3 linked regions of the Ovis aries genome follow. The protein of the gene in region 1 purifies or fractionates together with the protein of each later gene. This does not show direct contact. Links are inferred from orthologs where the notes say so. Each region holds a gene or a part of one and is shown in the gene's direction. Other genes may lie near its edges.

Region 1 (7,961 bases):
CTCAGGGCCTCACTTTCCTTATCTGTAAAACAAAGATGTATAAGGAGTGCCTTTCAGCCCAGGGTGCATGTCATGGGCACTGCTGAAGTTTCATAATAATAAGAGATATTCATGACCAGCCCTGGCACCACTGAATCTCAGTCTCTAGAAGGAACTTCTGGAACAAAGTTCCCTCCCAAGAGTTACTGAAACCCAGCCTTGTTAAGACCCCTGAGAGTCTCGTGGACAGCAAGGAGATCAAACCAGTCAATCCTAAAGGAAATGAATCCGGAATATTCATTGGGAGGACTGATGCTGAAGCTGAAGTTCCAATACTTTGGCCACCTGATGTGAAAAGCTGACTCACTGGAAAAGACGCTGATGTTGGGAAAGACTGAGGGCAGGAGGAGAAGAGGGCAGCGGAGGATGAGATGGTTGGATGGTATCATTGACTCAGTGGACATGAGTTTGAGCAAACTCCAGGAGGTAGTGAAGGACAGGGAAGCCTGCCGTGCTGCAGTCCATGGGGTTGTAAAGAGATGGACACGAATGGGCGACTGAACATCAACAACAAAGCCTTGATAAGAACAGCAAAGTTGCCCTGGGCTCTGGATCCCATTTCCTCCCTGTGAATTTGCCAGCCAGCTGGGAGTACAGCCATGGTCTGATGGGAGTCTCTCTGCAGAGAGGCAGGCTTGTCACACCACAGCCAGTGCGACCCCGGGAGGTAGGGTCGATGTGCTGGCTAAAGACTCTGAATGCAAAAGACACCAACCTGCAGGGCCCTGGAGGAAAACTGACCCTACGAAACCCACAAGGATAAACACAAGCTCTGCACTGAGGCAAACCACGCAATCAATGGACACAAGAAACATAACAGCGGGTGCTCCTGGGGAGGGGACCTGCAAGACTTGCAGGTGGTCAGTGAGAGAGTCACGTTTCATTGCATCTTGTACCTGCCTTTCGAATGTCACATCATCTGAATGTATCAATTCCCTTTAAAAATCTCTGGGGGGAAATCACTCACTGAAGCACAGGATGGGGGAGAAGAACCTGGCTGGCTAAAACCAGGATGCGTGCAATCTAGGGTTTTAATTGACGAGCTCACCCTGAACAGACACGGTCCAGCGGCTGTCGAAGCCAGCCTGACTTTCAGCTTCACGGTGGACAGGTGGTGCGCTCCTTGGGAGTGGACTGGCCCTCTGCTCTCTTCACATCTCCCTCCCGGTCTGGATGCCTACGCCCTGGACTGAGTCCCATATTCTGAGCAGTGTCTGGATGGACATGCTAAGCCACATCCAGAAAAAGAGATATCCAGAGGGGAGAGGGGGGAGGAGAGGGTGAAGGGTCCTGGATTGTCTGGCCAGGCACCGGAACATCTTTTTGGCAAAAGGGAGCAGCTGTCCTTCCTTTGGGCAGAGCTTCAGTTTGGTGTGGGCAGCAGTGTCCACAGTGACTGTGGAAGGAAAACCTTGCTGACCTTTAGAGCTCACTGCAGACTGTACTGACCTTCCTGCCACCGAACATACTTAAGCTGGGAGGCATCAGGACATCTGCCAGAGATGATGCTCACAGGGTTTATCCATCAGGACACTGAACCTGGTAGAGTCTGAGCGCCCCCCACTCAAGAGGAACACCCTAGATGCCTGGGTACCAGTGCCAGGCGTTGCTGGGCAGGTACTGTCTCTCAGAGGGAACTCTTCTAGAGATGGCGACCTAAAAGCAGTGGAGGCAAGGCCAGGGTGGCCAGCAACGCAGGGCTGCAGAGTGCCAGGCCTAAACCTGGGCCAACAGGTGCGCCCTTCTTAAAAACTAACATTCACTGAGTGTTGCCATGTGGTGGCCAGGAGTTTCTCTGGGAATGAACAAGACATGCAGATCTTGCCTGATGGGTGCATGAGATGGGCTGGAGGGCTGCTCTACATAAGGGTGCGGGGAATCAGGGGAGGGCTCTCTGAGATGACGTCGCACCTGAGCCCTGAATGACATCACCTTGTCCTGATCGTCCAGTCCACAGCATTCGTGGTGGTGCTCACCCACAGGGTCAAGAGTGTTTCTGCCAATGCCCGGCTGCCCCTTGTCACCTTTTTCTCTTTCATGGCCGGAAGCCTCTGTTCCTTCCTCCCAAGAAGCAGCCCTAAGATGCCGGGAACCACCTCATGGGACAAGGAAAGCTCCAAAGGAATTGGGTGGGGCATAACCACCGATTAGAGACAAATGAGTGTAGGGTTATTACCTGTGACACTGGGATAATAGCAGTGCCCACTTTATTCGGTCTTTGTAAGCGTTAAATGCACTTAAGGCATCCAAGCGCGCGGCACTCAGTAAGCGCTCAGAAAGTGGCACTCCGCCTCATTCCATGCCAATAAATGTCAAATGTCCCGATCTGGACTCTGAGGAGGCCGAGACTTCTCCCTGGGCCTCCGGGCCTCAGTTTCTCCCGCCGTCCTCTCTGGCCGCAGAATAAGGTACGTTCAGGTACACATCCTCCCCAGCCAGTCCACACTCCCGCGGTCTCGGGGCTGGTTACAACGGAGGACTACGAGGCCGCAGGAGCTTGGGAGGTGGCGTCGGCGGCGGCGGCGGCAGCGGGGACACTAGCGGGTCTAGCCCACGCCCCACGCCTCGGTGACCACGCCCCGTCGCCAACAGCTACGCCCCCTGCCCCTCCCCCTGGCCTGGAGTGGGCCCCGCAGGCGTGCTCCTTTAAGGCAGCCTGCCGGCCTAAAGGAATGTTTCGCCCCCTCCGACGCCGCCAAGGTGCCGGCTTCACCTTTAAGGCAGCGCAGGGACTGCTGGGAAGGCCGGCGGGATGGAGGCGGCGGGACCAGCTCACGGCGGCTGGTCCGGGTGAAGCGGCACCGGAGCCGGAGCCGGAGCCGGAGCCGGAGCGCGAGGCGGGCCTGAGCGGGAGACTGAGGTCCGCGCGGGCCGATCGGGCTGGGGGAAGGGAGCTCGGGGTCGGCCTTAGGGGAGGGGTTGTCTGGGGCGCGGCTCGTGAGAGGACCAGGCCGGCCCGCGGGGAGGGGGCGCGGTTCTGGATGACCGGGGTCGGGAGCTTTCAGGGGAGGAGGGGTCCGCAGGATGTCATGCTGGCCTACGGGGAGGGGTCGTCGTGGGCGCGGCCTGGGGGGGAGGGGACGAGGAACCCCGCGATCTCAGCTCCTTAGCGGGAGCGTCTTCCCAGGGTCGGCCTCCCCAGGAGGAGGGCTCTGTGGCTCGGCCTGCCTGTTGGGGAGGGGGCGCTGTCCGAGGGAGCTGGGACCGGATCTCTGAGAGGGGCTGGTGTCTCCGCACGGGAGTAAACCCCTCACTATCCCAGTAGGATCGTCCTCTGGCGCCTCCTGTTCTAAGGGAGCCTCTGGGGAAGCCCCGAGACCGGGTTGCCTAAGCCGGCCTTGAGCCAGTGGTCTGGGCCGAATCCGGGTCCAGCCTCGCGGGTCGCACCGCATTGCGTCTCCCGGGCCGAGACGAGCAGAGCGCGCCCCCTGTAGGCCGAGCGCGAGCACGGTGCGGGCTGCTATCTGGGGGACCGGGCTCCCGGGGGACCCAGGCGTCCGGGGGGCCCTAGGTGTTTACCTAATCTGGGGCGGACAGCGGCTTGGCCCCAGGCCCGGCACCCCCTGCCCGCCCTCTCGCCTTCACAGGAGGTACAGCCATGGCCACGATGGTGCTTCCTCGGGAGGAGAAGCTGAGCCAGGATGAGATCGTGTTGGGCACCAAGGCCGTCATCCAAGGGCTAGAGACCCTGCGCGGGGAGCATCGTGCCCTTCTCGCTCCCCTGGTCGCTCATGAAGCTAGTGAGGCAGAGCCGGGCTCACAGGAGCGCTGTGTCCTCCTGCGCCGTTCCCTCGAGGCCATCGAGCTGGGGCTGGGCGAGGCCCAGGTAGGCTGGTCCGGGGTGCTGAGGAGGGAGGTCACGGGAGGGATGGAGCCTTGCAGAGGAATCCTGGCAGTGTAGTAACAGAATCAGCATGGAAGGAAGAATCTGTGCCTTGGAGCCTTATGGTAGGATCTGGTAGATATCTATTGAAAAAATGGATGGGTTGAGCCCAGGAGGGCTGATTATCTGACTTCTCTGCTACCTAGCAGAGACTGCATGGCCTAGGGAAACAAAAAGGAAGTCCTTAAGGACCCCTCCCCTCATTTATTCTTTTATTCATTTGTTAACAGGTAAGTTATCAAGTGCCTACTGTGTGCCAGGAAATGTGTTAGGTGCCAGGGATACAGGTCCAACAAGACAGACAAGATCCCTGCCAAGTCTAGTAAGAGAAGAGTCAGAAACACATATATTTATTCAACGTTACGGTGAGTTCTCAAAAAAAAGGTATGGCAGGAGGTCTCATCTATTGGTCAAGCTACACTTCTGAAGGAATGACATTTAAATCAAGATCTGAGTGACAGAACAAAAAAGGAGAATGAGAGATTGTGTGTGCAAAGGTCCTGTGGTAGAAAAGATCTCGTGGTGGGAGAACTGAGAGAAGACTTGTCTGACTGAAGCTTCATGAGGAAAGAGAGGGGCAGAAGAGGTCTATGGAGAAGACAGGGGCCTTATTAGTCTGGGTTTTATTCTTAGGAAGTCAAGAAGCCTTTGGAGGGTTTAAGCAGTCACAGCACATGGCCTGGCTTAGGCTTTAAAAAACTCTCTGGCTGAGGTGTGGAGAGTGAATGAGGATGGGTCAGGGTAGAAGGAGGTAGCAGGTGTTAGGAAGCCACTACTGGAATTCAAATGAGAAATGGCAACTTGGAGTAAAGGGGTGGCCATGAAGCTAGTAAGAAGGGGGTGAGTTCTAGACATTCTGGAGGTAGGTTGAGCAGGGCCTGGGGATGGACTAAAGGAGAGGGAGAAGGTCTGTGGTTTGAGCAAATTAAGAGGAGGGGACTTCCCTGGTGTTCCAGCGGTTAAGAGTCTGCACTCTCAGTGCAGGGGGCGTGGGTTCAATCTCTGGTCGAGGAACTAAGATCCCACGCGCTGTGTGCAGCAGCCAAGAGATAAAAAATATAAAAATAAATAAGTTTTTTAAAAAAAGGAGAAGAGAGTGTGATGGATCAGGAGTTCTGTTTGGGTCCTCTTAAGGAGCTGGGGCTGCTAGGATGACATGCAGATGGAGATATCTGGGAGGCACTGGGGTGCACGAGGAGTTAGACTCTTGGGAAAAGAGTCTTGGCCCACTCAGATCCTGGCTGAGACACTGCCTGGCTCCGTGAGCCCTGGGCAGGTGGTATTATCTTGGTTTCCTTGTTTTTAAAAGAAGGATCACACCATATGCTGTATATATGTCCAGGCTGTTTAGGGAATTTGAAAACACGTGTCACTTGGGTGTTTGCTCATCAACTAGAAAGCACATGGTTCTAGACTGCCCAGCCCTCTGGAAGGGCAATGTGTTGGTCATTCACTCCTTGGCCAGTTGACTGCTAGGTACAGAGATGAACATACCGGGGCACCTTCCCAGGGCAGGTACAGGTGGGCAACAGAATGGTGTGTGGGGGGGTGGGTGAGATACCCTGCTTTCCTGGGGCCGAGAGCATAAGAGGGAAGAGGCTTCACTGCAGAAATGACTCTGACCATGAGGAATGGAGAAAGGGTAGCACCTAGCAAGGCCTCAAGGCAGGAAGAGCCTGGAAGCTCAGGAAAGGAGTCAGGGAGTTGGGGAAGAGGGATGGGAGCTGAGGCCCCTGCATCCCCTTCCCTGCCTCTCTGGTTCCCCAGAAAACCAGGGGTTTAGGACACATACTCCTCTCCCTGGGAGCTGCAGGTGGCCCCTGGGCAGAAGTCAGGATGGGGTCTCTTGGTATCCTTTCAGCCATCTCTCAGGAATCTTTGGAAAAGTGCTAGCCCTGGGCCAGGGGCAGTGGTTTAGTGGCTCTGGCTACAGGGCTTGAGTACAACTCCTCAGAGAGACAGGAAGAGAGCGGCCAGCTTGGAGAACGGGCAGCACCCCAGTCAGCGCTCTTCATGATCAGAACAACTGGACGTCTATGCGGAGGGCTAGCTGGAGGCCCCAGGAAAGGGGATGATGGGTTCTTTCAGAGTCTAGCAGAGCCAGCCTGGGAGCCCAGGGGTCCCTACTGCAAAAGGAAGGAGCTGGGGATCCCCAAGCCTCCTGGGTTCAGGTCTCAGGCTGTGTGTGGTCTGTTTGGGGCCCTGGGGCAAAACTCTGTCAATGAGAGAACTTGGGACCCTCAGGCTGGCAGCTCCTCCAGGCCTGGCTCTTTTCTGGGCCCCAGGAGGCCCAGGCTGGGCATGGTGTGGGGGCGGGTGGATAGGGCTTTGACCTCCATTCTGGCTGTCTGCCACAGGTGATCTTGGCGCTCTCAAGCCATCTGGGGGCCGTGGAGTCGGAGAAGCAGAAACTGCGGGCCCAGGTGCGGCGCTTGGTGCAGGAGAACCAGTGGCTGCGCGAGGAGCTGGCGGGGACGCAGCAGAAGCTGCAGCGCAGCGAGCAGGCCGTGGCCCAGCTCGAAGAGGAGAAGCAGCACTTGCTGTTCATGAGCCAGATCCGCAAGTTGGATGAGGACACCCCCCCCAACGTAAGCCCCGGTGTAGCCATTGCAAGGCCACTGCGGGGGGTGGGGGGCAGGTCCAGGACCAGGGGAGGTGCCAGGGAACAAGCGCAGTTCCCACCCAGCCTGCTGACCCCTGGGCTGCCCACATTCCCTGACGCTCATCCTGTCTCCCTCCCCAGGAGGACAAGGGGGATGTCCCCAAAGACTCTCTGGATGACCTGTTCCCCAGCGAGGAGGAGCAGAACCCAGGTGCAGAGGGGCGGCTGGCTTTGGGGGTGGGAAAAGAAGACTGGGTGAACCAGTCCCTGGGACCCAGAGGTCACAGGAAACGAGGTCTGACTGAGTGACCACCAGGTGCTTCCCTGCCTCGTTTCTGATCATAACATCCCAGCATGAGCACTTAAAAGGCTGGCTTTACCTGTTGCTTCTCTCATCCCCTCAAGTTCCGTGAGGAGCAGGCATCACAATTCAGAGCCCTGGAGCCGCCCGGCCTGGGTGCGAGCCCTGACTTGCACTCTTTGGTCTGTGACCGCTGGTAGAGTTTCTTTTCTTCTCCGAGCCTCCCCCGAGGGTTAAAGGAGGACGCACGCGCAGCACTGAACCCCAGGCTGGAGCCCCGGGCCAGTGCTGGCCTTGCTCATGTTTCCTGTGCCAATCAGAGCCTCCCTTCTGCAGATGAGGTGGCGGCCGCTCCTCTCGGGAGCGAGGCGGCTTGCTCTGGGCCACATGGCTTGAAGTACCAGAGCTGGGCCTCCACCCTCTCTTTCTGTGGCTTGCCTGGACCCTCTCTATAGATGCGGAAAGTGAGAGAGGGTGACAGTGACTTGCCCAGGGCCACGGGTGTGATCAGTCAAAGCTGCCCCCCAGCTCAGGGGGTACATCTGGCCTCCCCTCCTTGGCTTTGCAGCCCCCAGCCCTGGAGGAGGCGATGTGGCCGCCCAGCACGGGGGCTATGAAATCCCGGCCCGGCTGCGCACCCTGCACAACCTGGTGATCCAGTACGCCTCCCAGGGCCGTTATGAGGTGGCCGTGCCCCTCTGCAAGCAGGCCCTGGAGGACCTGGAGAAGACATCGGGCCACGACCACCCGGACGTGGCCACCATGCTGAACATCCTGGCGCTGGTCTACCGGTGAGGCACCCCCCCGACCACGGTCACCTGTGGGAGCACTCTTCCTGGGGATGACAAAGCACTGGTGCCTGCAGTGGGCCAGGACTCGGGCTCCACTAGGCAGCAAGCTGGGTGACAGAAGGATCTTGTCCCCAGAGAGGGCTGAGCCCACAGCAGGGCCTGGGCTACACATCATGCCTCAGTCTAGTGCGGGAAATGGGCTTGGACAAGACTGGGGAGGGGGCAACATACAAGCGCGCTGGGCACAGCCTCTCCAACACCAAGGCTTGAGGCGGGCCTCTGGTGAAAGTGGAGTTTGCCCAAAACGTAAGGGGATTGGAAGTTTTGTTGGCAGAAAGAGCAGCA
Region 2 (8,151 bases), on another chromosome or scaffold:
AAAAATGTGGCAAACTTTTCTTCTATCTTCTTGGCTTCATCCTGCCCATCCCGGAGTATGGGATTTTAATGAGACTAACCAAAGCCATACGTGAACCGTGAACTTCCTGATGTTCAAGCTGGTTTTAGAAAAGGCAGAGGAACCAGAGATCAAATTGCCAACATCAGCTGGATCATGGAAAAAGCAAGACAGTTCCAGAAAAACATCTATTTCTGCTTTATTGACTATGCCAAAGCCTTTGACTGTGTGGATCACAATAAACTGTGGAAAATTCTGAAAGAGATGGGAATACCAGACCACCTGACCTGCCTGCTGAGAAATCTGTATGCAGGCCAGGAAGCAACAGTTAGAACTGGACATGGAACAACAGACTGGTTCCAAATAGGAAAAGGAGTACGTCAAGGTTGTATATTGTCACCCTGCTTATTTAACTTCTATGCAGAGTACATCATGAGAAACTCTGGGCTGGAAGAAACACAAGCTGGAATCAAGATTGCCAGGAGAAATATCAGTAACCTTAGATATGCAGATGACACCACCCTTATGGCAGAAAGTGAAGAGGAACTAAAAGCCTCTTGATGAAAGTAAAAGAAGAGAGTGAAAAAGTTAGCTTAAAGCTCAACATTCAGAAAATGAAGATCATGGCATCCGGTCCCATCACTCCATGGGAAATAGAAGGGGAAAGAGTGGAAACAGTGTCAGACTTTATTTTTCTCGGCTCCAAAATCACTGCAGATGGTGATTGCAGCCATGAAATTGAAAGACGGTTACTCTTTGGAAGAAAAGTTATGACCAACCTAGATCAGTTCAGTTCGGTTCAGTTCAGTCGCTTAGTTGTGTCCGACTCTTTGCAACCCCATGAATCGCAGCACGCCAGGCCTCCCTGTCCATCACCAACTCCCGGAGTTCACTCAGACTCACGTCCATTGAGTCCATGATGCCATCCAGCCATCTCATCTTCTGTTGTCCCTTCTCCTCCTGCCCCTATCCCTCCCAGCATCAGAGTCTTTTCCAATGAGTCAACTCTTCTCATGAGGTGGCCAAAGTACTGGAGTTTCAGCTTTAGCGTCATTCCTTCCAAAGAAATCCCAGGGCTGATCTCCTTCAGAATGGACTGGTTGGATCTCCTTGCAGTCCAAGGGACTCTCTAGAGTCTTCTCCAACACCACAGTTCAAAAGCATCAATTCTTCGGCGCTCAGCCTTCTTCACAGTCCAACTCTCACATCCATACATGACCACAGGAAAAACCATAGCCTTGACTAGACGGACCTTAGTTGGCAAAGTAATATCCCTGCTTTTGAATATGCTATCTAGGTTGGTCATAATTTCCTTCCAAGGAGTAAGCGTCTCTTAATTTCATGGCTGCAATCACCATCTGCAGTGATTTTGGAGCCCCCAAAAATAAAGTCTGACACTGTTTCCACTGTTAAGCAGAGACATTACTTTGCCCCCTAAGGTCCGTCTAGTCAAGGCTGTGGTTTTCCTGTGGTCATGTATGGATGTGAGAGTTGGACTGTGAAGAAGGCTGAGCGCCGAAGAATTGATGCTTTTGAACCGTGGTGTTGGAGAAGACTCTTGAGAGTCCCTTGGACTGCAAGGAGATCCAACCAGTCCATTCTGAAGGAGATCAGCCCTGGGATTTCTTTGGAAGGAATGATGCTAAAGCTGAAACTTCAATACTTTGGCCACCTCATGCGAAGAGCTGACTCATTGGAAAAGACTTTGATGCTGGGAGGGATTGGGGGCAGGAGGAGAAGGGGACGACCGAGGATGAGATGGCTGGATGGCATCACTGACTCGATGGATGTGAGTCTGAGTGAACTCCGGGAGTTGGTGATGGACAGGGCGGCCTGGCATGCTGCGGTTCATGGGGTCACAAAGAGTCGGACACGACTGAGCGACTGAACTGAAGTGAACACAAGCCATGCGCAGAGTTGGGGACATTTGTCCACAGTGTGTTCTAGCTTCTCAGTAGGGATGCGTGGGATGGATGTCAGGGAATTTACCAGTGACCTCAGTGCCTCCCCCTACCTTTTACTACTTCCCCTGGGGAAATCTATTACTAATTTGTTTCTCCAGCTTTACTGCAACATAATTGACTTATAATGTTGTGTAAGTTTAGCATATCTGCTGCTGTTGCTTAGTCATTTCAGTCATGTCCAACTCTGTGCCACCCTATGGACTATAGCCCCTCCAGGCTCCTCTGTCCATGGAATTCTCCAGGCAAGACTACTGGAGTGGGTTGCCATTCCCTTCTCAAGGGGAAATTCCCAACCCAGGACTTGAACACAGATCTCCTGCACTGTAGGCAGATTCTTTACCACTGAGCCACCAGGGAAGCTCGAGTTTAAGGTATATAGCCTATTAATTTGATACATTTATAATTTTCAAGAGGATTATCACTATAGTGATCTAAAACCTACATTGTCTGTGTGTGTTCAGTTGCTAAGTCTTTTCCGACTCTTTTCGACCCCAAGGACATAGCCTACCAAGCTCCTCTGTCCATGGTATTCTCCAGGCAAGAACATTAGAGTGGGTTTCCATGCCCTTCTCCAGGGGATCTTCCTGACCCAGGGATGGAATGCATGCCCTCTGCAGTGGAAACACTGAATCTTAACCACTGGACCAGGGAAGTCCCAAGTTCTCCTTTAGACTTAGTGGCTCTGGGTGGATTTCTATCACCTTCCATGGCAAGAGCCCTGCTGTACATACTTACTAATGGGCATGAATGCTTGACTTCCAGAGAGTCAATGCTTAAACAAAGTACAAGAAGCAAGCAGAGCAAGAGGTAAATTTAAATAGAAGAAGCCACAAGTAGCTTGGTGTTTATCAGAGTGTAAATGTCAAGACAAGAAGCAGTAAGAGATGAGGCTAATAAGTAGACAGAAATCTGATCGCGGGACCTGGATGTAGTTTGCAAAGAACTTTGGACTTGATAATATATCTGTTCATTCTACAGGATTATAAACAGGTGTTAGGGAGAGGGTCTGTAAGCTATACAACGTTTGTGTTAATTGCTTAGTTGTGTCCGACTCTTTGCCAGCCCATGAACTGGAGCCTGCCAAGCTCCTCTGTCCATGGGATTCTGCAGGCAAGAGTACTGGAGTGGGTTGCCATTTCCTGCTCCAAAACTATACAATAAATACTAGTAATTAAGAATTTCTTAACCTGGGTGTTAAAGGCAGGGTTCGATTGTCCCTGCTGCTGCGTCACTTCAGTCGTGTCCGACTCTGTGCGACCCCATAGATGGCAGCCCACCAGGCTCCCCCGTCCCTGGGATTCTCCAGGCAAGAACACTGGAGTGGGTTGCCATTTCCTTCTCCAACGCATGAAAGTGAAAAGTGAAAGTGAAGAAGCTCAGTCGTATCCAACTCTTAGCGACCCCATGGATTGCAGCCTACCAGGCTCCTCCATTTATGGGATTTTCCAAGCAAGAGTGACCCTCTGAAATAGCGTGAAAAAAATCTGTGGGTGTGTACGGGTTTATTTGTCTTTGTTTCCGTTATGGGAAAGGTCCCTAACTTTCATCACATATTAACGGAGTTCCTGACCCAAAAAATGTATGAACAAGCTTTTTCAGGAATTACTGGCTTCAAATATCCATGCAAATCTCATTTCCCTTCTAATTTCCTCACAACGCTTAATAACTGTTGAGCACAAAGAAAATGCTCCATAACTGTTTAGTTGGACACGGTCTTAAGAGGGGACTTTCCTGTGGGATCATGAAAAGATGTAAGGAGATAATATAGACCTTGTTAGTTATAGAGATTTTAACCGGGAATATTGGATGCGACATCCGTCGTTTTATTGACTTGGGCAGCCACCCAAGATCTGCAGGTTGTCGGATGCGTCACCCTAGGCACCGCCGCTATTCCCGAAAGCCAACTCCAAGCATCCAAGTCTTTTCACCCGCAGGTGCAGCGACTACAAGTCCCAGGATGCTTCGCTCTCGGAGCCTGAGCGAGGGCGGGGCGGATCCCCGCAGTGACGTAACCGACCAGGGCTGTGCCGAGGCAGGGCGGGGCGAAGGGGCGGGTCGGGGAGGCGACCGAGCGCGCTGGTGCTGATGCAGGATGGCTGAGCTCGCAGGAGCCCGGGAGGTCTGAGTAGGGAGAGGCTGGCTCCCTGCGCATCGCCTCGTCCGCCCGCCGCGTGGTCGTGGGCAGGTGGGCCTGGGGCGCAGCGCAGGGCCAGGAAAGGCAGGTCTGCAGCCGGCTGGGCCAAAGGTTAATAGGCTGCCCACCTACAAGGTGTCGGAGCGGCCGGAGCTGCCCAGCCAGCCGAGTTCGCGATGACCTGCTGAGAAGCGTCGTCTAGGCTGAGGGAGGCGGCCTTGTTGCGGGCGGTGCGGTTCTCAACCACTTTCCCTCGTTGTGCCGAACCGCGGCCCCCCACCCATCCTTGCGCCCCCTCCCTGCCGCCGGCCGAGATGGCGGATCCAGCCGAATGCAGCATCAAAGTGATGTGCCGGTTCCGGCCACTAAACGAAGCAGAGATCCTCCGCGGGGACAAATTCATCCCCAAATTTAAAGGCGAGGAGACCGTGGTGATCGGGGTAAGTGGCTGGGAAGTCTGGCCTCCCTGATGCTTCGCGCCCCAGCCCGGCGCCCCAATGCCCCAGGCCGGGCAGAGATGCTTTGGCAGCCCATTTGGACATCCCTTGGGGGCTGCCCTCTAGGGTGGACTTGACGAGAATCCCCCACCCTGCAGTTCCCTCCTGGGCGAGTTGAGGGTCGACTGGAGGCCTCGGGGCGGCCCCAGGTGGCGGGGGTGGGGGTAGGGGGCGAGCAAGGGTTCGGCGCCGCCATTGTTATTGGGGTGGGGGCCCGGGTGGGTCTATTGTTCCCCGCCCTGGCCACGTCGCGTGGGTAGTGTGTTCGCGTTATCCTCAAGCTCAGACTCCTCTTAAAGTATGAGCTCTGTAGCCCACAAATGATACCAGGGATCGTTTCGATTTATCGAGCACTTTGCCTCTTCTCACAGTTTTGGTAAAAGAAGGAAAAAAGCTACTGGAAAAATCCTAGCTTCTGCACCGAGCTCCAACAGCCGTGTCGAATTGGCTCCCCGCGGCGTTTCACCTTGCTCTGCACGCGGAAGGCGGGGGCTGGGGGAACACTGGTGGCCTCTCCCGGAGGCTTCGTATGTCTCCTCTTGCTTCCTCTCAACCCAGGCTGTCCTGACTTGGACCTCGAGTCTAACTCTTCCCGGTGGGGCGACCCCCACCTGGTGTCCGCAGACCCTCGGGTGTGTTTCATGCTGGACGGTGAGGAGGCTGTGCACCCGCCCGCATCTGTAGGACCAGGGGTCCCAAACGGAGCCAAATAGCCTCTGTACCCAAAGAACAAGTTACTTTGTGTGGCTGGGGCCCCCTCGCTTTTGATCTCCCTTCCCAAGTTTCCCCTCCCCAGACTTGGCTCCATTTCTGCAGCGCGGCTGCTGGTGCTGGGAGGGAATACCGTTGGGTTTTAGTTCTTAAAGGAATATGTCAAATGAAATAAGCCAGCTTTCCCTGCCCCCACCCCCACCCTTCCCCCTCCTCTGTCCCCAGCGTGTGTAGCTAACGGTACCCTCTTTGTATGCGAGTCGCGTGGGGAGGGACCGAGTTAATGGGAGCCTCCCGATCCCCGCTGACACGTTCCTGGCAGCCTGCTCGCGGCTGCTGATGCAGCCTTCCCGGCCTCAGCATTGATTAAATGATGTCATCCCGATTACTGAGCATGCTCAGACTACCTCCTCCCTCCTATTTTCCCCCAGTGGCTGGGGTATTTAGGTCAAGTGATTGACAGGTGACAATTTACTTAGGGTCTCTGCTGGAGTCAGGTCGACCCTTCTTAAGCACCAGAGGCAGACATTTGCCTGCCCAAGCAGTCCCAGCATCTTTGCCAAGGTTGTGCCGCAGTACCTGTGAAGGGCCCCAGGGACTAGCAGGTGCTGGTGGAAGCGGAAGGCAGGCTTTCTCCGCGGGAGACCAGAGGCAAGGCTCTGGCATTGCCAAAGGGCTTCATCGTGTACCTTCCTTAGAAAGGCATCTCCTCTTGAAGACCTCCTCTCCTCCTCATTTTCACAGTCATCAGAAAACCGTGACCCCCAAATGCTATGGGGGTGGTCGTTCATCCTGAGAGCTGGCCTGTGAGGCCAGGAAGGAGGGGTTTTCTATCTGCTTAGTGTTAAATTGAAGGAAGGATGTATGCTACAATTATTGATGAGGAAGAAAATTCTATACTTGATGGCTGACATTGGATAGTGATGTATCTATGGCCAGGACATGGGACGGATAGTAGCTTGTGGGTTACACATCTAAGCTGGGGTCACCCTACAGGCTGATTTGCTGTTTCCTGAGCCTGCTTGTGGTTTGGATAGAGTGGGAGTTACTGGGGACATCTAGCCCTGCCCCTTGTCTGGTGACAGTTTTTAACCAATAATTGTTCAGTCCTAGAACATGTTCTGGTGACCCTATTTTTTCAGAGGTTTTAAAGAGAGGCTCAAGCTGTTTCTTTTCTTTCTCCTCCTTCTCTCCCTCCTACTCCACCTTCTTCCTTTCCACGCTCTTCTTTCTCCATCTTCTAAGGGTGACATACCAGAACTAGTGAAGTGGAGTAATCGATTTTCCCTTTGATCTGTATGCAAGGCAGAGATCTTGAATTTTATGGTTATCCTTCCTTAATTTTATGACACTACTAAATTATATTAAACAAATGGTTGTGGATGTGAATACACATGTAGTTCTTCAACTGTAAATCTGGGGTAAATTGAAAATTTTTCGTCTTACTATAATCCTTTAATGAAACACTTTTCAGTTTTCTTTAAGATAAATTTTTCTTTGAAATAAAGCATTCATATAGAAAAGTGTTTTCATAAGTGTATATAGCTTTTCTTTTTTTATATAAACACTCCTATAACCACCTCTTAGGCTAGGAACCAGACATTTTCAGGACCCCAGAAGTCCCTCCCAGTCACTAAGTCCCTCTGCCTCAGAATAACTGCTATTCTGACTTTTAGGTTTTTTTTTTTAAGCTTTAGCTCCATAAAACCACACAGTATGTTCACCTCTTTGTGTGAGTTCTTATGTTCAACATTATGATTGTCAAATTGGTCCACACTGTGATGTGTGGCTGCAGTTGGTTCATCCTCATTGTTCTGTAGTATCTTATTATATGAATATGCCACAAATTATTTATCCAGTAACTGTTGGTAGTAACAGTTTGGGTAGTTTCCACTTTGAGGCTAATATAGGTGGAGCGGCTATGAACATTCTTTTATGCATCTGTCAGTGAGTTTGGTACAGAACAGAAGACTGCCAGATGCTGAAGGGTGTTGGGACTTGAGTTGGCATGTGCTAGGACCCTTCTCATTCCTACTTAGTAATGTGTAACTAAAGGAAGTGACCGTTCTCGAAGCCTGTATCACCCTTTGTCGACTGAGTAGAAGGCTCCCAGGTCAGTTCGGCTGGAACCAGCCCACCTGGCTCGGGTGCAGGTGGAGGCTCTCTTAGATGGGCTCTCCCCTCCTTCTTGCAGGGGCATAGATTGTGGGGAGGACCAAAGAAGCGCAGAGCCCAACAGAGATGAATGAAGAATGAATTTCTGCGCAGGTAACTGTGAGTCCAAATTCAGAATCTCAGAAATTCTTGTTTGTTTTTGAAACTGGAGTGATTGTTTTTCCTTTAAAGTCTTGTTCATTTCTTGTGGAGATGTATGCTGAGAGAAGATTTTGCAGGTGGGCTTCCTAGATTTCTCTTTTTTTAAGAAATGTCATCTTGAAGTGCGTGCTTAGTCACTCAGTCGTGTCTGACTCTTTGCGACACCATGGGTTGTAGCCCACCAGGCTCCTGTGTCCGTGGGATTCTCCAGGCAAGAGAACTGGAGTGGGTTGCCATACCCTTCTCCAGGGGATCTTCCTGACTCAGAGCTGGAACCCAGGTCTCCTACATTGCAGGCTGATGTTTAACCGCCTGAGCCACCAGGGGTAAAGCTTGAAGAGATTATCTCTATCATTCTTGCTTTTTTTCCCCCCTGCTCCTTTCTTTCCCTGACTGCCCCAGCCACAGTTTCTTCCCTTGTGAACTCTTGCAGATTCAGTCTGTATGTGATCTCGTACTTTTTTGCCTTAGATTATCATTTTTTAATTTTTAAGATTCTCATTTATTTTAC
Region 3 (8,034 bases), on another chromosome or scaffold:
TCCTACCAGGCTACTCCATCCATGGGATTTTCCAGGCAAGAGTACTGGAGTGTGTTGCCATTGCCTTCTCCCAACTCCTGTCTAGCTCTTTGCAACCCCATGGACCGTAACCCGTCAGGCTCCTCTATCCTCCACTATCTCCCACAGTTTGCTCACATTCATATCTATTGAGTCAGTGATGCTCTCTAACCGCTAGCCATGTCAAGCTCCCAGAAATTAAATGACTGGGTAAAAACAACACAACTAGGTTTGCTAAGGCACAGCCAGGGCTTTGAAACAACAATAAGTAACTTTAATAGAGATTTAATCGTGTTGGGAATGAGAAAGTTAACTAACCAGGTTAGGGCTGTCAGATAAAATACAGAGCTCTTAGTTAAATTTGAATTTCACATAAACAACTAATAGTCTTTATAGTATAAGTATGTCCCATAGGATATGTAGGACATATACATAAAATAGACACATTTTACTATTTTATCTGAAATTCAAATTTAACCAGGCATCCTGTTTTTGAATCTGGCAATTCTATCACAAGTTAATAAACACTTGGTAGCACCCTCTGTGCTCTTAATCCCTTCACTAATGGTTTTCAGACTTTTGAATTTCACAGTTTAGTACAATTAAAACAATATCAAACCTTTCTGAGGATAGGCATAGTATTGCTACTTTTTTATTTTGCCAAGCAAGTATTTGCCAAATCTATTCTCTATTACCATCATTACTTAGTAGAAAAGTACAGAAGGACATACAGTACTCTCAGAATAAGAGATATTCCTTTGAAACAACAAATCCAGCTTTATGAAAAAACTACCGCATTCACATTGTGTCGTGTTTTTTTGCTGGGAGGGATCCATACACGGTCAACTTTTGTCTGACCAGAGACCCTGCATTGACTAGTATTCTGAAACCCCTTCACTAAGGATGTCATCCTGGAGCCCCTGGGGGCCTAAGGTTGGGATATTTCCTGAGCTTGCAGGATGCTGCAACAATTAGAAATAGTGCCAGACCAAGAGACTGGAGAGATGCCTGTTTTCCTGAGTTTAGAACTCATTGTCATTCAATGTGTACTCTCCTGGCTCCTCCCCAAGCCTTTCTCTCCACAGTGCTACTGCCTTGCCATCCAGTTTCTTATGGTGAACCTCTTTCCTTCAGTTTCCTTAAGATTCAAGGTGGGTTAAGGGTATATGTCCAACTCGGAAACCCCTTTAGCTGTGTTCTGAGTGGTTAGGTCTTGTTTGGCCAGGCCATCATTGTCTCTTCCTTGCCTCAAGTGACCTTAGACACCAGACAATTGCTAGGCAGAACCTCCCTCCCTCCTTTCTTCTCCCATCACCCTGCTCCTCCCCCTGGCCTAGAGTCTCAACTCCTGCAGTCTAACTCTGTTGGCCAGCAGAGGCCCTGTGACGTGGAGAAAAATCAATCCCGCCAGCTTCTAGATGGTTCTGCCCAGGGGCTGCAGCAGCAGTCCTACTGGAGGGGAGGAAGGACATGGAATTTCTAGACTTGGCTCTCTCTCTCTCTCTCTTTTTTTTTTTTTTGCCAGAGAGAGGGGAGAAACAGAAGAAAGGCCTGAGAAAGGGGCTGGAGTGTTGGGACTGTTCAACAGAGTACTGCGATAGGAAACATACTCACATAGGTGCCTAACCCTGCCTGAAGCCCAAGTGCAGACGTCAGCTCTAGAGGTCCTTTCTTCAAGCCCCTCTGGTCTTACCCACCACCATCATCTCTCCTCCATCACTGCTTTATGACTTCCTCCCTCTTGCAAAAATTCCTCTGGACCACCACCATCCCAGCTCCAAACTATGAGGCAAAAATGCGAATTACCTGCTTTTGAATTTTGAGAGACCAAAATAGGACCCCGGGTAGCTCAGCTGGTAAAGAATCCGCCTGGCAATGCAGGAGACTCAGGTTCAATCCCTGGGTGGGGGAAATGCTGGGGAGAAGGAAATGGCAATACACTTCAGTATTCTTGCTTGGAGAATCCCCATGGACAGAGGAACCTGGCAGGCTACAGTCCAGGGGGTCGCCAAGAGTCAGACAGGCCAAAATAGGAGATCACAGGCCAAAATAGGAGACTTAGTCGGGACCTAGTATCTATGTTGGGGAGCGAGTAGAGTCCTTTTGGATGTAGGAGGGGAAGGGAAGAACCAGACCTCCCTTGACACTCTTTAAAAAATGGACCCTGGACACCCACCTCCATAGGGATACAAGTAGCTGCCCCTGAAGGTTTGAGTGAGCTGAGGATCTTTGAGAGGGTTGTGGGGAAAGAGAGGAGGAGACGTGTGCTGCCAATCTGGAGAGAGGACTGTGATGGAGGTGAAGGATGCCCTGGAATAAAGGAGGTGTGAGTGCTGTTGACTCTATCTCCGGCGGGAAGACAGACCCACCTCAGATCCCTTAGCCCTTCCAGGGGGTTGGAATCCGAGGGAGGGACAGACTGGCCAGGGTTGTGAGGGTGGGACCCAGTGAGTGACTTGGGTGGGGAAGGGGTGAGGACACGCTAGTCTCCGAGAGTCAGGAGTGGGGAGAGGAAGCACGAAGAGAGCAGAGGTGCCACCGTCCGTCGGTGGGCGCCGTGGGGCGGCTGCCCCCAGCCAGGGAAGCCCCGCCCCGCTCCTCCGTCGCCGCCCCGCCCAGGCCCGCAGCGCGGCGCTGCAGCGCGAGGGGCGGAGAGGCAGAGCGCCGAGAGAGGACCAGACGCCCAGGTCGCCCGCATCCCGGTGCCGCAGGAGAGAGGAAGCGCGCCTCGGCCCTGCTCCTCAGCCTTTGCCCGGGCGCCCGCCTCAGCCTTCTGAACCCCCAGAGACAGAGCACCTGTCCTTCGCCTGGGCCTCAGCTGAGCCCCTCTCCTCCCGGAGCACACGCGACCTCTGCAGCCGAAGTGTCCCAGCCCCACGCCGGCGACCACCATGGCCGAGACCAACAACGAATGTAGCATCAAGGTGCTCTGCCGATTTCGGCCCCTAAATCAGGCCGAGATTCTGCGGGGGGACAAGTTCATTCCCATTTTCCAAGGGGACGACAGCGTCGTTATTGGGGTGAGTGCGGCCCCTGGAGGGAATTTCGGAGAGGGGACAGGATCTTTTACGCCCGCCGAGCCTCAGCCCCCAGCCTGTCTCAGCTCCCTCTCCCCACCGCTCATCCTCCTCCATCCTTTTAGCCGCAGCCCCTCCTCTCCCTGCATCAGGATGGCTGGGTGTGGCCTGGCCAGACCGGCGGCCGAGTCTCGGCAGAGTGGGAAGGGGCTACTATCCCGCGATCCGGGGACCGGATTCCCCTTTGCTGCTTTCTGCAGCGTCCCCACCCCTAGAGCCAGTCTCGTGTTTTTCTGACGTTTTCCCTGTTCCCTAGGGAAGGCGCATCTTCCCTTTGTTATTGGCTCAGAATCTCTACCCCTCACTTCCCAGGAAGGGAGGGGGAAGACTAGTGGACTGGCTAGATGGGAGGTGGGTTGTCCAGGGTCTCTGCCCAGGTACAAGTGAGGATGGACCCTGGGGTCAAGGCCTCCATCATCCCCTGAAGTAGTTACAGCCTGGACTTGGAGGGCACAGGTTTAGTGAAGGGTTTTCAGAGTAGGAAATACATTGGTGCCACACCCAGTTTGGGGAGGGGGATCTTCTAGGTCCTAAAGAAATGTCTGCCTTTCCCTCCCAGGTATGGTAGGAAGAGGATTTCAGACCCCTCAACTCACTCTAACAAAAATAACCAAACCCTGAGATCCTATCAAGCAGTTGCTTATTCATCGTTTCTCTTGATGATCCAATTCAAAGTAGCAAGCCACCTCCTCTACCTAGTCTTGACAGCCCCTACCCTTGGAAGAGACTATTAAGAAGGAGAACTAGTATTTCCTGTGCTTTTTACTCTACATATATCATTTGATCTTCAAAACAACACTCTGAAGAAGGTATCAATATTTCCACTTTACAGATGAGGAAATTGAGGCCCAAAGAAGTCGAATGACTTTCTCAAGGTCACACTGTTAATTCATGGATCTGAACCTAAATCTGTCACTCCAAAGCTCACATCTTTCCTTCGGTATCACATTACCTCCACAGATTTGGGTTCTGGACTTTTAGCTGTGGTAGCCCCCGAGGGATTCCTAGGGAATTCCTCACCTCCCCTCCTTTCCTAGGCTGGTTGGGACTGTCAGGCTATGGGGTGAAAGGATTTGGGGTTGAGTCCAGTAAGGAGTAGGACTTGAGGGGTGCTGGGCCAGGACACTGTAGCCAGTTCAAGAAGGGAGGAGCCCATATAAGGGCCATCCTCAAGGTCAGGGGCACTTCTTATGTATCTTTGATCCATAGTGCTTGGCACAGGGCTTGCTTGTTGAAGGAATGAAGGAAAGAAGAGGAGGGAGCCTGGGTCTTCGGAGTCAGTGAGAACGGGACTTTGAGTAAACATGCCTTAGGAAGAGACTTGCTGACGTGGTCTGTCCCCAAGGGCTCGTCTGTCACCAGTCTCTCTCACCTCCACTGTGGACTCAAATGGGTGCTCTCGCCCTGTGTATGTGCTTATGTATGTATGCTTGCCACATAGGGAGGGCCCCTGTCTCTCTTTGTCTCGGGAACCTTAGACCTTGCAGACTGATCAGTCTGGCCAGGCTGAAATAATGCCTGGATCAACCCTTGGGGCCTCCTTTCTGAATAGTCTGGACAGTGGGTGTTAGCCACGAGAGTTAGAGCTTGAGGGCCCCCTGAGACAGAAAGGCTGAGAAATAGGACCAGGGTGGTTATGGAGGAACAAACCCACAAAAGGCTTCCACTTTTAAGCCTAACTTCCTTGCTCTAGGGTGTTTAGGTTTATCTGAACCAACTCCCTTAGGCTCTCTGGGGCACCCATCCTGGCATGGTGGACACAGGGCAGGGGGCGATGTTGGGAGAAGGAGTTGTGTTGATTTGTCTCATTCCCAGCTAAATAGAGAGACCTCGTGGAGGTGGGAGGGAGGAGAGAGAAAGACAGGCCCAGGGCCCCCTGCCAATTCAGATTTTATCTTACTCCACAGCTGTTCCTTCGTTATCTGTTTTGCCTGATATTTGCAGGGCTGAACCTTTGTCTCGCTCTGTGTCTTGCCTTGCCCTAGCCCTTCCTGTCAGTGTCTTATGCCAAGATAAGTGCTTATGGGGGGCCATTTTGTCTCAGGCAGCATCCTCGGTGCTTGCCTTCCCAGGCTTTCTATTCATTCCTCGTTCAGGAGGATGAGGGTCATAAGTGAAGTGATTGTGAGGAGTGCCTTGAGGGTCCCAACCAAGGAAAGGAAATCCCCGACCCTCCTTCCTCTCTCTTCCTCTGGCTCCCTTTGGGGCCCGTTGTGGGAACTGTGTGAGGAGGTAATGGAGGAATCTGCTTCAGGATGTCTGGGAGGGCTGAAGATGGGAGAGGCTATTCTCTCTCTCCAGTCCCAGCCCCCTGCTCCTCCTGTGATGGCTCTCCTCTCTGCACTGCGGCTAGCTCTGGGCTACAGAGTCCCTAATGTTCATGGGTTTTTTCTGCCTGGCGGAATGTAGGAGAACAAGCTTGGAAGACAGCTCTGTGAGCCTCATCCCCCTCCCACCCCATGACTTGTCCCTGGAATCTGGGGGATGGGGCTTAGCCCACGTTAATGGCCTGAGTCATAGTGGAAGGGTGTCTGGGTCACTGTCTATGTGTGCTGTGTACCTTGTCTTGCTCTTTGGGTCACTCGGAATCCACTGTGACTTTTTAAGTGTACCCATTTATGTGTCTCTCTGCCTGTCTTGGTGGGCAGTGTGAGCTGTGCATCTATACCAGACACAGGAGAATGGCAGTAGGGAAATCCATAGCCTCTCTGCCTCCCGCCCCTGCTCCACTTCCTTTCCGTCTCCTCTTCCCTCCCTCCCTCATTCAAGTACCCACCATATTCTATCTCCCTTAGATTTCCTGATGGCTCAGTGGATTCTTAAAGAGGCAATAAAGCAGGGCCACCAAGTACCTCATTTGGAAAAGCCAGGTTGGGGCCTGCAGGATTATTGGAGCATAGTCAGTATTGTTTGAGGTGGCCCAGGATTCTTTTGATGTCTGATGGAGACGATCAGTTCTCCCCTTAGCCTTGGGGGAGTCTCGTCAAGGAAAGCAGAGAGGGGAGGTGATGTTCACTGTGGCCAGTGTCTCTCTAGCATTGCCATGGCAACAATCCCCAAGGTTGTCACTATGGAAATCAGTCCTGGTGCTCTCAAGTTCAGTCTCTACCAAGTGCTTTAGTGAAGGTTGAAAAGGTTGGTTATCTCTGGACCCCTGATCTTAGACCTTTCCATTAGCTTTAGTCAGCACCCTTTGTGGAAAACACCAGAAAGTGCTGGGAGACACAATTGGACAGCACACGGGGAAGCTTGGAGTGGGTCAGAGAACAGAGAGTCCTGGGTTGTGGGACTCTGAAGAGAAGCCCTCTGGAGGGGCGGTTTATGCTGCTGTGGGGGGAGAGAGAGTGGGTCTCAGAGGCATTCCTCAAAGGTGGAAGGTCTCCCTGAGTGTTCCTAACTTACAAGTCTTCTAGTCCCTGACTAATTGAAGTCACGGATTAGTACATCCTTGGAGAGGATAGATGGAAGAACTGCATTCTTCTGAAAAAGGGGTTGAGGTTGCAAAAAGAGGATGATGAAGGGCTTTAGTTCTGTCCAGAAGTATTTGGAGAAACGCCCACATGGAGAGAGGAGGGGAAGGGAAGCCATGATAAAGCTCTGACGCAGTGTTGGCACGTCAGTTCTGGGATCACTTTGACAGTGTGGGTCTGGAATCAGATTGCTTGGGTTTGAAACCTTCTTCTACCACTACCCTACCTCTCTGAACTTCAGTTTTCACATCTATGCAATATGAAAATAATAATAGTACCTACGTCCTAGGATTGCTGTGAGCATGAAATGAGATAATGTATAGTGACAGGCACATCATAAACTCCCAACCAGAGTTAGATGTTATTTTTATTTTAGATGGGCTGTCTCCCCACCAGCTCACCTTTGGCACAACTGGGAAGTGGTTAACATTTTCCCCTCTTACAGATTGTTTCATCCAAAGATTCAGGTCCCTAGGATCTTCTTGCTCTCTTCTTCCATCAATATCTGTGTTTCTTCAACAGATATATTAATGAAGAGCCTCCTGTGGGCCAGGGTCTGTGCTTGATGTTGGGGATTGAGAGGGGAACCTCTATCTTCAGGAAACTCTTGGTTTACATGGTGGTCCAGACTGTGGAGTGGCCTGGCCAGAGTCCTGGGAGAGGGCATCAGAAATGGCTTTTGTTAATTGTACATATGCTTCCCCAGATTCTGATAAGAAATCCCCCACAACATACTACAGTCTGACTCAGAATAATTGTGTGTCATGAGAGATGTAAATAATGGTGACGTTTCCCAAGTGAATAGTCTAGAAGCAAAAAAAGTAGATAACCGCTGGTCTAGTTATTTTTTAAAAAGATCTGACAGAACAAATTCATCCTGTAATAAATAGAAAGTTAAAGGACGTTCATACTTTAACAGATATAAAAGTCTTAGGAAGAAGAAATGAACTAGGTTTGAAACTTAAGGACCCAACCAAGCGTAGGAAGATGGTAGCAGACCTTCCCAGAAACCCTAGAATTGTAAACGTGGCTTTCTCTGCTCATGAGGTTACTAAGTGCATCCACTTTTAGCTCTTGGATATTTTTTATCCTCGTGGTTCCAAGAATGCCACCCATCCTCTCTCTGATCTCTCCCTGCCTAGGCTCAGGAAAATGAGTTCCTCAGGCAATAATTGCCTTCAGCACTTGGAGAGCGCCCTCCCTTTTAAAGCGCCCACAGCACCCTCTGTAGTGAAAGTGTTAGTCACTCCGTCGCGTCTGACTCTTTTTGATCCCAAGGACTGTAGACCACCAAGCTCCTCTGTCCATGGAATTCTCCAGGCAAGAATACTGGAGTGGGTAGCCATTTACCTTCTTCAGGGGATCTTCCCAACCCAGGGACTGAACCCAGGTCTCTTGCATTGTGGGCAGATTCTTTACCATCTGAGCCACCAGGGCAGCCCCTGGAATCCTGCAGCTGGGAGTGTTAG

What was found.
Region 2: the proteins of KLC2 (region 1) and KIF5C purify together in Homo sapiens (affinity purification with western blotting; 3 studies listed by BioGRID and IntAct, with this or other methods). This does not show direct contact. The link is inferred for Ovis aries from reciprocal best matches to the Homo sapiens genes KLC2 and KIF5C.
Region 3: the proteins of KLC2 (region 1) and KIF5A purify together in Homo sapiens (affinity purification with western blotting; 3 studies listed by BioGRID and IntAct, with this or other methods). This does not show direct contact. The link is inferred for Ovis aries from reciprocal best matches to the Homo sapiens genes KLC2 and KIF5A.

The regions. Positions count from the first base shown.
Region 1 is NC_056074.1:40,740,962-40,748,922, forward strand, and holds the start of KLC2 (kinesin light chain 2), read left to right. Parts: upstream 1-2,687; 5' UTR 2,688-2,711; coding exon 2,712-2,899; intron 2,900-3,576; coding exon 3,577-3,865; intron 3,866-6,279; coding exon 6,280-6,510; intron 6,511-6,665; coding exon 6,666-6,735; intron 6,736-7,393; coding exon 7,394-7,616; intron 7,617-7,961. UniProt on the Homo sapiens protein: Kinesin is a microtubule-associated force-producing protein that plays a role in organelle transport. The light chain functions in coupling of cargo to the heavy chain or in the modulation of its ATPase activity.
Region 2 is NC_056055.1:160,718,162-160,726,312, reverse strand, and holds the start of KIF5C (kinesin heavy chain), read left to right. Parts: upstream 1-4,039; 5' UTR 4,040-4,430; coding exon 4,431-4,556; intron 4,557-8,151. UniProt on the Homo sapiens protein: Microtubule-associated force-producing protein that may play a role in organelle transport. Has ATPase activity. Involved in synaptic transmission. Mediates dendritic trafficking of mRNAs.
Region 3 is NC_056056.1:162,102,780-162,110,813, reverse strand, and holds the start of KIF5A (kinesin heavy chain), read left to right. Parts: upstream 1-2,676; 5' UTR 2,677-2,909; coding exon 2,910-3,038; intron 3,039-8,034. UniProt on the Homo sapiens protein: Microtubule-dependent motor required for slow axonal transport of neurofilament proteins (NFH, NFM and NFL). Can induce formation of neurite-like membrane protrusions in non-neuronal cells in a ZFYVE27-dependent manner.